Lytechinus pictus: one gene and its partner. The protein of the gene in region 1 purifies or fractionates together with the protein of each later gene. This does not show direct contact. Links are inferred from orthologs where the notes say so. Each region holds a gene or a part of one and is shown on either strand. Other genes may lie near its edges.

Region 1 (3,934 bases):
CTCCCTTTTTAAAGGCAGGTAAAACTTTGGCAAGCTTCAAAGAATCTGGGAAAGTACCATGTTCAATTGAGAGATTAATGATATAGCACAGTGGTTGGGCTATTGCAAAGGCAGAATGCTTTACTACTTTCGGATGGATACCATCATAACCTTGACTTTTATTAGCATCTAGTCCTTTGATAATTTTAATAACATCACAAGTTTTAACTGGACAAAAAAACATAGCCGGAGGGTGATTAGAACTTTTAAATGAGATTTCTAGTTCTGCACATTTAAGGACATTCCACACTTATGTTTGTGCGCATTTAGATATGCGCATATTTTACACTCCGCGCGCTGACGTCACAATGGATGAACAGGTGATTAATTTGCTGTGGGTATGAACTGATTTTTCTCATCTGCACTCTAACTGCAGATCCGATGCATTGTTTTATGAAGCTAAAAACCTTAACTTATTCCATGGACCATTTTAAAAAACATCTCTACAATTTCAAAATACTTTACTCTGCAGTTCTGCCAAAAATCACGAATATGACTCTGAGTTTGAATAAATGGTAGAGTGGTTTTAATTTTTTCTTCAAATAGATACAAAGCATTTGGCGCATTTTTGTGTTTTAAAAAGCACATTTGCTCTAATGAAAATGCTGATAGTTTGAAAACAAGCACATGAAGCCCTATTTTTTAATGTTTGCACCTCTTAGGTATACCTTCCTCTACAACTTTGCAAATTTTTGGTGAAAATGACATGGATTTTGAATAAAGTGCAGCACTTATTGTACTTTTGTAGTTTGTTATTGAAATTTCACTTTTTTTAGATTGGGTTTTTGTTATTTTTACGCCATTTTTAAGAACTGACAGTGCTGTTAGACTTAAAATTGCAAACAAATAGCTCTATAAATAGATTTTCCATTCTAACGATACGATTATTAACTCTCTTGCGAAATTTGATGACTTTTTCATGTATTGAGACTGAGTAACAGGTTAAAACTCATTGTAGTGATCTTGCAAGGTCTAAAAATGCCAAATTCTTTTGAATGCGCAATTCGTAAGAACATCCAGTTGGATGAACTTTGAAGCTCTATAGCAAAAAATCAAGCACATGGACCTATGTTGATTTTTGCATATTTCAAATATTCAGGTTCCAAAGTATCTATGTGCAAAGTTTGGTGAAAATGACATGGATTTCATTTTAACTGTGGAACGTCCTTAATTGAGAATAAACATGTTATGTTACCATTTAATTTAGGAACAATTCAGCCGCATGTCAGAGGGACATTTTTAGGGGTGTGTTAAGAGGCCTACATTTATAAATTACAGTTAATTTAACCTTTTTTTTTATAAAATTCATTTTTCTTTGTAGGCATCAACTGGGACAGCCATGTCTTCTCAACTGGCAGTCAATGACATCACAATGGATGACCTAGGAGGTCATGATAGGCCAGGGGTTATTTGGGACCTTGACCCTAACTTAACCCATGAAATCTATGAGGATCTTGGAGTTGAAGTTTTAGACAAGGCAGAGCCGAAAAAGATTACCCAGAAACAGAAAAGTAAAAAAACTCCACCAGACCAAAAGGTAACTCCTTCGCAGTCACTGATGTAGATTTGGCCGGCAGAAGGGCGTGATCTCTCACTCTGTACAATGCGCATAGCATGGTTGGGCTCAATTACTTTCTTTAATTACAATTATTTAATTGAAGAAATGTTCAGTTTACAATTACTTTTCAATTAAATTACAATTACCAATTGCTTTTGTCAATTGCAATTACATTTTCAATTACTTTCTAGAAAAGTCATAACTGAAACCAATTTTTATTCTGTACATATTACCACCTATTTCAACATAATTTTAAGTTACAGAGAAACTGACGAGATGAAGGTTTAGGTTGAAGGGCACGAATTCTGCCTGTTACTCTCTTTGAGGCTGAAGCAGTTGACATGAAATAGGTCATGGAATTAATCATAAATTTTAAAGTAAGTTTATTGTAAAGTAATTGAATGTAATTAAAAGTAATTGACAGTAATTGAAGTCAGTTACATTTTTTTTCAATTACAATTACTTTTCCGTTCAAAACTTCAATTACAATTATCACAATTACTAAAAAAATGTAATTAATTATGGAATTGATCAATTACTTTGTAATTGGCGCATAGTGCATGCTTGAGATTTAAGTAACACCCTTTTGGAATTGAAAATCACCGTGCACACACAACATACTGCCCTTCTGCCAGCCAGGTGATGATATATTAGAGCCAAATATAAAGTTTTGTCATTTTAAAGATTTGCATTACTTCATAAAAAAACTTATGTGCATAATGTGGGCTGTAAGCCTGCTCTATACAAATTGGAGCCCATGATAAAATAGGCCTATCTTCTTTTTTTATAACATGATTTTTGCATGACATTTGATAAAAAAGTTTGATTTTAAAGAGTTTTTATAAACATTTATGAAACAATGAAGCTTACAATAATGATAAATTATAAAGTCAAAAAGGGGCCTAAGCTTTCGATCCTAGCAGAATCTTCGTCGGAGGCAAAATGACAAACATATAAAGTGGAACAACCATAATATAGACCACAAACAAGCTACAGCAACACTAGTCACTAGAAACAAGGAGACAAAAGGGGCATTAGTGAGTAGAGAAGACCAATCAGGTTAGTGAAGGGGATGAAAGAAAAGGAGTAGGCAGACACAAAGGGAAGTTAGTGTAAGTAAGGCCAAGAGGGATTAAGATAATGAGGCAGGCAACATCAAACAGGATCTGGAACAAAACAGTGATAGAGGGATGAATAACTAGAGAATTAGTGAGAGGTGGGTCAAACAGGTTACAAAGAAAGGCTTAATAAACTGGTGCATAAGAGTGGGGGGAAAAAGAAGAAAAAGAATAGGGAACAACTGATAATGTGCAAAAGACATATAAGTATATATGATAAAGCATTAAACAAACTAAGAGAAGAAGGTAAGTGTAAATATGTATCTATAAGTGATATGTATATAAATATATCCAAAAAAGAAATGTATATGAAAAAATATATAAATATATACACATATGGTGTAACTGATATGGTAATCCGCTAGGTGTGACGGGAAAAAACATAAGACTATATAGTAGGAAAGAAAAAAAAAAAAATCTGTATATGTGAAAAAGAGGAAGCAAATTGCCTAAAAAGGTAAAAGCAAATATAGAAGAGAGGGGGTGTATTATGAAGAAACCATAGTATACATGTAAATAAGCAAATGTGGTAAATCTAAAAGAGGTGAGTGGAGAAAAAACAAATATATATATATATATATATAATAATTATTATATCGCCTGAATAAGGAAGGAAAAATTGGAGCTGAGCTTGTATGAGATATGGGAGGAAAGTAGAGTAAGAAACTGTAATGTAACTATTCAAAAGAGCTGAGGGGAAAAATTATATGTATATATAAATTGAAAGTGGATAGGAAAGAAAAATCAGTCGTTCCCCTCTTGGATGTTCAGGCCATGAGGTTGGGTGGTGCGAAGTCGTCTCATCCAGAGCTTCTCCCTGCTAGTACGGACTGAGTCAGGACGGGTACCTAAAGATTCGATGCCCTGTAGCATCATGTCAGTGATGGAGTGGTTGGGGAGGTTAAAATGGCGGCCAACTGGAGTGTCCAGCTTTGCTGTGTTGACGGTGGATCTGTGCCCGTAGAATCGTTTCTTGAGTGTGGTCTTGGTTTCCCCTATGTATTGTACCCTACAAACTCTGCAAGTGATGAGATATACAACATTAGTGGTAGTGCATGTGATGTTGCCCTTGATTTGGTGAGACAGGCTGGTAGAGTTGCTGGTGAAAGTATCGCCCTCGTGAAGGTGTAATTCACATATGATGCACCTGTTGCTGGTGCATTTGAAGGTGCCATGCTGTATGGGAGAAGAATGGTTAGTGAGGGAGGGCACTTCAGCA
Region 2 (3,934 bases), on another chromosome or scaffold:
AGACTAGGTCTACTGGAGCTGCAGATCGCTTCGCTCGCCCTTTCAGGCTGGTTTGCTTCGCAAACCAGCTGAAGATCCCACTTCACGAGCCATTCAGAGTCTGCATAGCAGACTACGCGGCACCCGATGAAGGGGAAAAAAGTCGGTCTCGTGGACCTTCGGCCTCGCGGGTCTTCGGTCTCGCGGGCCCTCGGTCTCGCGGGTCTTCGGTCTCGCGGGCCCTCGGTCTCCCGGGCTGTCACCGAATAAACAGAGAAAAATCATACTAGCATATAGTGCTGAATATTTCATAAAAATCGGATATAAAATAAGAAAGTTATGACATTTTAATTTTCGCTTATTTTTCACAAAACAGTGATATGCACAACTAGGTGAGTCAGTCGATGATATCCATCACTATTTCTTCTGTTTTTTATTGTTTGAATTATACAATATTTCATTTTTTTATAGATTTGACAATAAGGACCAACTTGACTGAACCACATAGTATGAAACAATGCTAGTTCCACATGACCAGGGAGGAATTAATCGTTTTATCACTTGACAATGAGGAGAAAATTAGAATATTTCATATAATAAAATACAAAAGAAATAGTGAGTGGATGACGTCATAGTCTCCTCATTTGCATACCAGCCAGGATGTGCATAATAACTGTTTTGAGAAATTAAGCGAAACTTTATTAAAATGCCATAACTTTCTTATTTTACATCCGATTTTGATGAAATTTTCAGTGTTATGCTTGTTGAAGTTTTCTCTTTTTATTTAAATCAACTTTTTCTTGGGGTGGACTTGTCCTATTTAATGGTAATTTTCATGGAAGAAACCTTAATTGTGAGTGTGACGTATAGTGAACAAGTGGACATAAACAAAGTTGTACATACTGGGTTAGTGACCTCTATACAGTTCAACTAATGTTTCTTATTTTAAAACATATATTGATCATTTCTACTCTTACACTTGTGTTAAAATGCTATGATAACTTTAGGCTTCTCATAATCTCTTCCCTTTCTTCTCAGTTCCTGACATTACTTTTTTCTCGGAATGCATATTTATCTTCACCCTCTTCCATATATTATGCATTGATATACGTTGTAGGCCTATTTGTTTTTTTTTTACTATCTGTTTTAATACTGATATTTTACTCTATACAAATTTACTTTATTCAGCCTTTGGCTAGCTGCGAATTGAATGTTATCATTTATCTGTTTATTATTTATTTCTTTCATTCATGTTATACCATGAATGTTTGGAGGTGCCATAACTACGAACAAAATGCTCATACGATTCCTACACATGTAATGCAAGCGGATTAGGCCCCAACAAACTAAACGCTTTAAAAAAGCTATGTATCTATATTGAAATCATAAGGTTTGTTTAAATGATTAAGTTATTATGAACGAAATCAGGGAGATACATTAGATGTGCACGTACGACGAAACGTGTGTGGTCAACTTGTTAGACTCTTGCGCGAGCCGTTTCTGTGTGTTTTTTTAAAAATATTTTGGCGGCCGCGGAGCTGAGCAGTGATATTTTATGTAAATAAAAAATACGCCACCGCACCCGGCTTGGTGTGAAACTGTGTATTAACAGCGTTTGGACTCTTCTTGGTCCTGACTTGGAGACATCATTTGGGATTTTTGTCTAGCTTCGTCATATTTGTCGCCCTGAGGCTGAGGGAATAACTAATTCTGGAATCTGGATTATCAACTTGTATACAAAAGTTGCAGAATCTACGGCTGTGTAAGTGCGACTGTGACTTTGTCTAACTCAGTCTCAGTCAGTCACTGTGTTTGTTAATTGTTATGCGTGTGTGTCAGGAGGACACTGATATTACCAGCGCATGTGATTTTTATGCGCACATGACAAATAGGAATATCACAAATCCATGTGATTCCGTAGGACTGGGAGCAAATTAAATCGCCGAGTATTAAGTTTTAACTCATTTGTTGCTAGTGCCGTGGCTAGTGCCAGTGACTAGACAGCTGGCAGTCTCCCGGAGGGGGCACTCAGTATAATGGGTATGTGCCGCGGAGGGGACCCCCATTTACACTCAAATTTCCGATGCAAGGCCAAGCCCAGGCCAGGGCAAGGCATAGGTCTAGGCCCTAGGCCATATAGCATTTTTCTTATTTACCGGTGCATAATTTAGGGTGGGCAATGCCAATGCACCAGATTTATGCTGTAGACATGTGCTAAAAAAGTCAATAGGTGAATTTGGCTCAAATTTTCATTCTAAATTCTATATTAATGGATGCACAATGTAGTTAAATGTAGCAACATCTGCACATTTTCTGGCAGCCAAGTTGATTATCAATGTGACATATGTTTCCTTGGCTCCTCACAGTAGCCTGGAGGCGTATTGGGAGTAAAAATTATTTACTACGTAGTACGTAGGCTTACTCCCAATGACGCCTGGCACGGGAAGGCATTGGGCCACACGAAGGAGAGTTTTTGGAGAAAACAATGTTGCTCCAATATACCGGTACTTGATTTGTTTAACTTGCTAGCCACACACTTATGTACATGGACAACAAGTTCAAATCCTCCCATTACGTACATTTATTTATACTTAAAAACTATAAATATTAGAAATATTTAAGAAAAATTATGTAAGAAGATGAGCAGATACTCACCGATGATCTTGTCGCCATTTTCCTTCTTTGTTCGTAGCCTAGTTACAAGACGCGTTTTTATTGGCTAATGCAAGTATTTTACAATTCACGATATTCATCAGCCGATTGATTTTTATTTTCTTTTTAAATTGGCACTGCTCATGATATCGTCGCCCGATCTTATACGCGTCTTGGTTGACGGATTCGTGTTCAGCGGCAAAAATGACCATGGAATCCACCCGTTTAAAAAAATTTGTCATTTGCCCACCTCTACCCATAGGAACACGAATCAAGAAAAAAACTTCATCGAAAAGAACATTTCTAGGTTGAGAAAATGTCAAATTGACTAATACATACATGTACATGTTGACCTGGAAACTTGCAGACACAACTGTACTTTTTCCAGTACATGCGTTATGTATAAAGTATACCATTTTTATATTAAATGATATAAAATCAATGTTTGGTGGACAGTCGTTACATGTTTTACTGGACACGCAGTATCACAATGCATTCAACATCTCTTTATATATTACCGGTATGTTTTTATTTTGTATTTATAAATTTCTCTTTTTGAAAAAAATCTTTTATCAGGCATCAATCTCCTCTTTTTATCCTATCATTTTTTTTTATGACAGAAAAGGTGAGCATTGGCAAGAAATATAAATTGGAGCCTGTGTTGTATGGAGAATGTGTTGTTTGGAATCCAGTAGATGAGACAACCATTTATCAACATGGATGGTACTGAGTTCAAAAACTGGTTATGTCACATGGAGAAAACATTTGTTCAAGACCTGAATAATGAGCAGCGTTGCTCAGCATTAGACTGTCTTATTGCATCATCGGGGGATGTACAACTCCGCCATTTATCCACTAGATTGGAAGGACTCTTGAAAAGGGATTTTTTGCGACTTTTGCCCAAGGAACTAGCAAACTATTTGTTGTCTTGGCTTGATCCTATAACTCTTGGAAGATGCTGTCAAGTCAGTCATCACTGGAACAAAATGGTGACAGAGTGTACAGAGGCGTGGCAACAGTCTTGCAGGTAACGTCAGATCCAAAGGACTCTTATCTACAAATGCAAATTCTAGTAATTGCAATGCAAACTGAAATCAAGATTGGAGTATATGAAATTTGAAAATCATCTTCTGTCATATAATGTTCATATCATAAGTTCTGATTGGAGAAATTATATTTTCTGAACAAGGCATTTTAAGCAGACCTTTCAAATTTCATGATAATATTGTAATTTCAATCAGAATCTGAAAGTCAGGTCCATATTCCCAAACCAAATCTAGCAAAAAACAAGAAATTTTGAGCA

Evidence for each region.
Region 2: the proteins of S-phase kinase-associated protein 2-like (region 1) and F-box/WD repeat-containing protein 2-like purify together in Homo sapiens (affinity purification with western blotting; 4 studies listed by BioGRID). This does not show direct contact. The link is inferred for Lytechinus pictus from reciprocal best matches to the Homo sapiens genes SKP2 and FBXW2.

Annotation. Positions count from the first base shown.
Region 1 is NC_087255.1:4,700,374-4,704,307, reverse strand, and holds the start of S-phase kinase-associated protein 2-like, read left to right. Parts: upstream 1-1,365; 5' UTR 1,366-1,378; coding exon 1,379-1,576; intron 1,577-3,934. UniProt on the Homo sapiens protein: Substrate recognition component of a SCF (SKP1-CUL1-F-box protein) E3 ubiquitin-protein ligase complex which mediates the ubiquitination and subsequent proteasomal degradation of target proteins involved in cell cycle progression, signal transduction and transcription.
Region 2 is NC_087245.1:43,999,760-44,003,693, reverse strand, and holds the start of F-box/WD repeat-containing protein 2-like, read left to right. Parts: upstream 1-1,526; 5' UTR 1,527-1,741; intron 1,742-3,251; 5' UTR 3,252-3,326; coding exon 3,327-3,658; intron 3,659-3,934. UniProt on the Homo sapiens protein: Substrate-recognition component of the SCF (SKP1-CUL1-F-box protein)-type E3 ubiquitin ligase complex.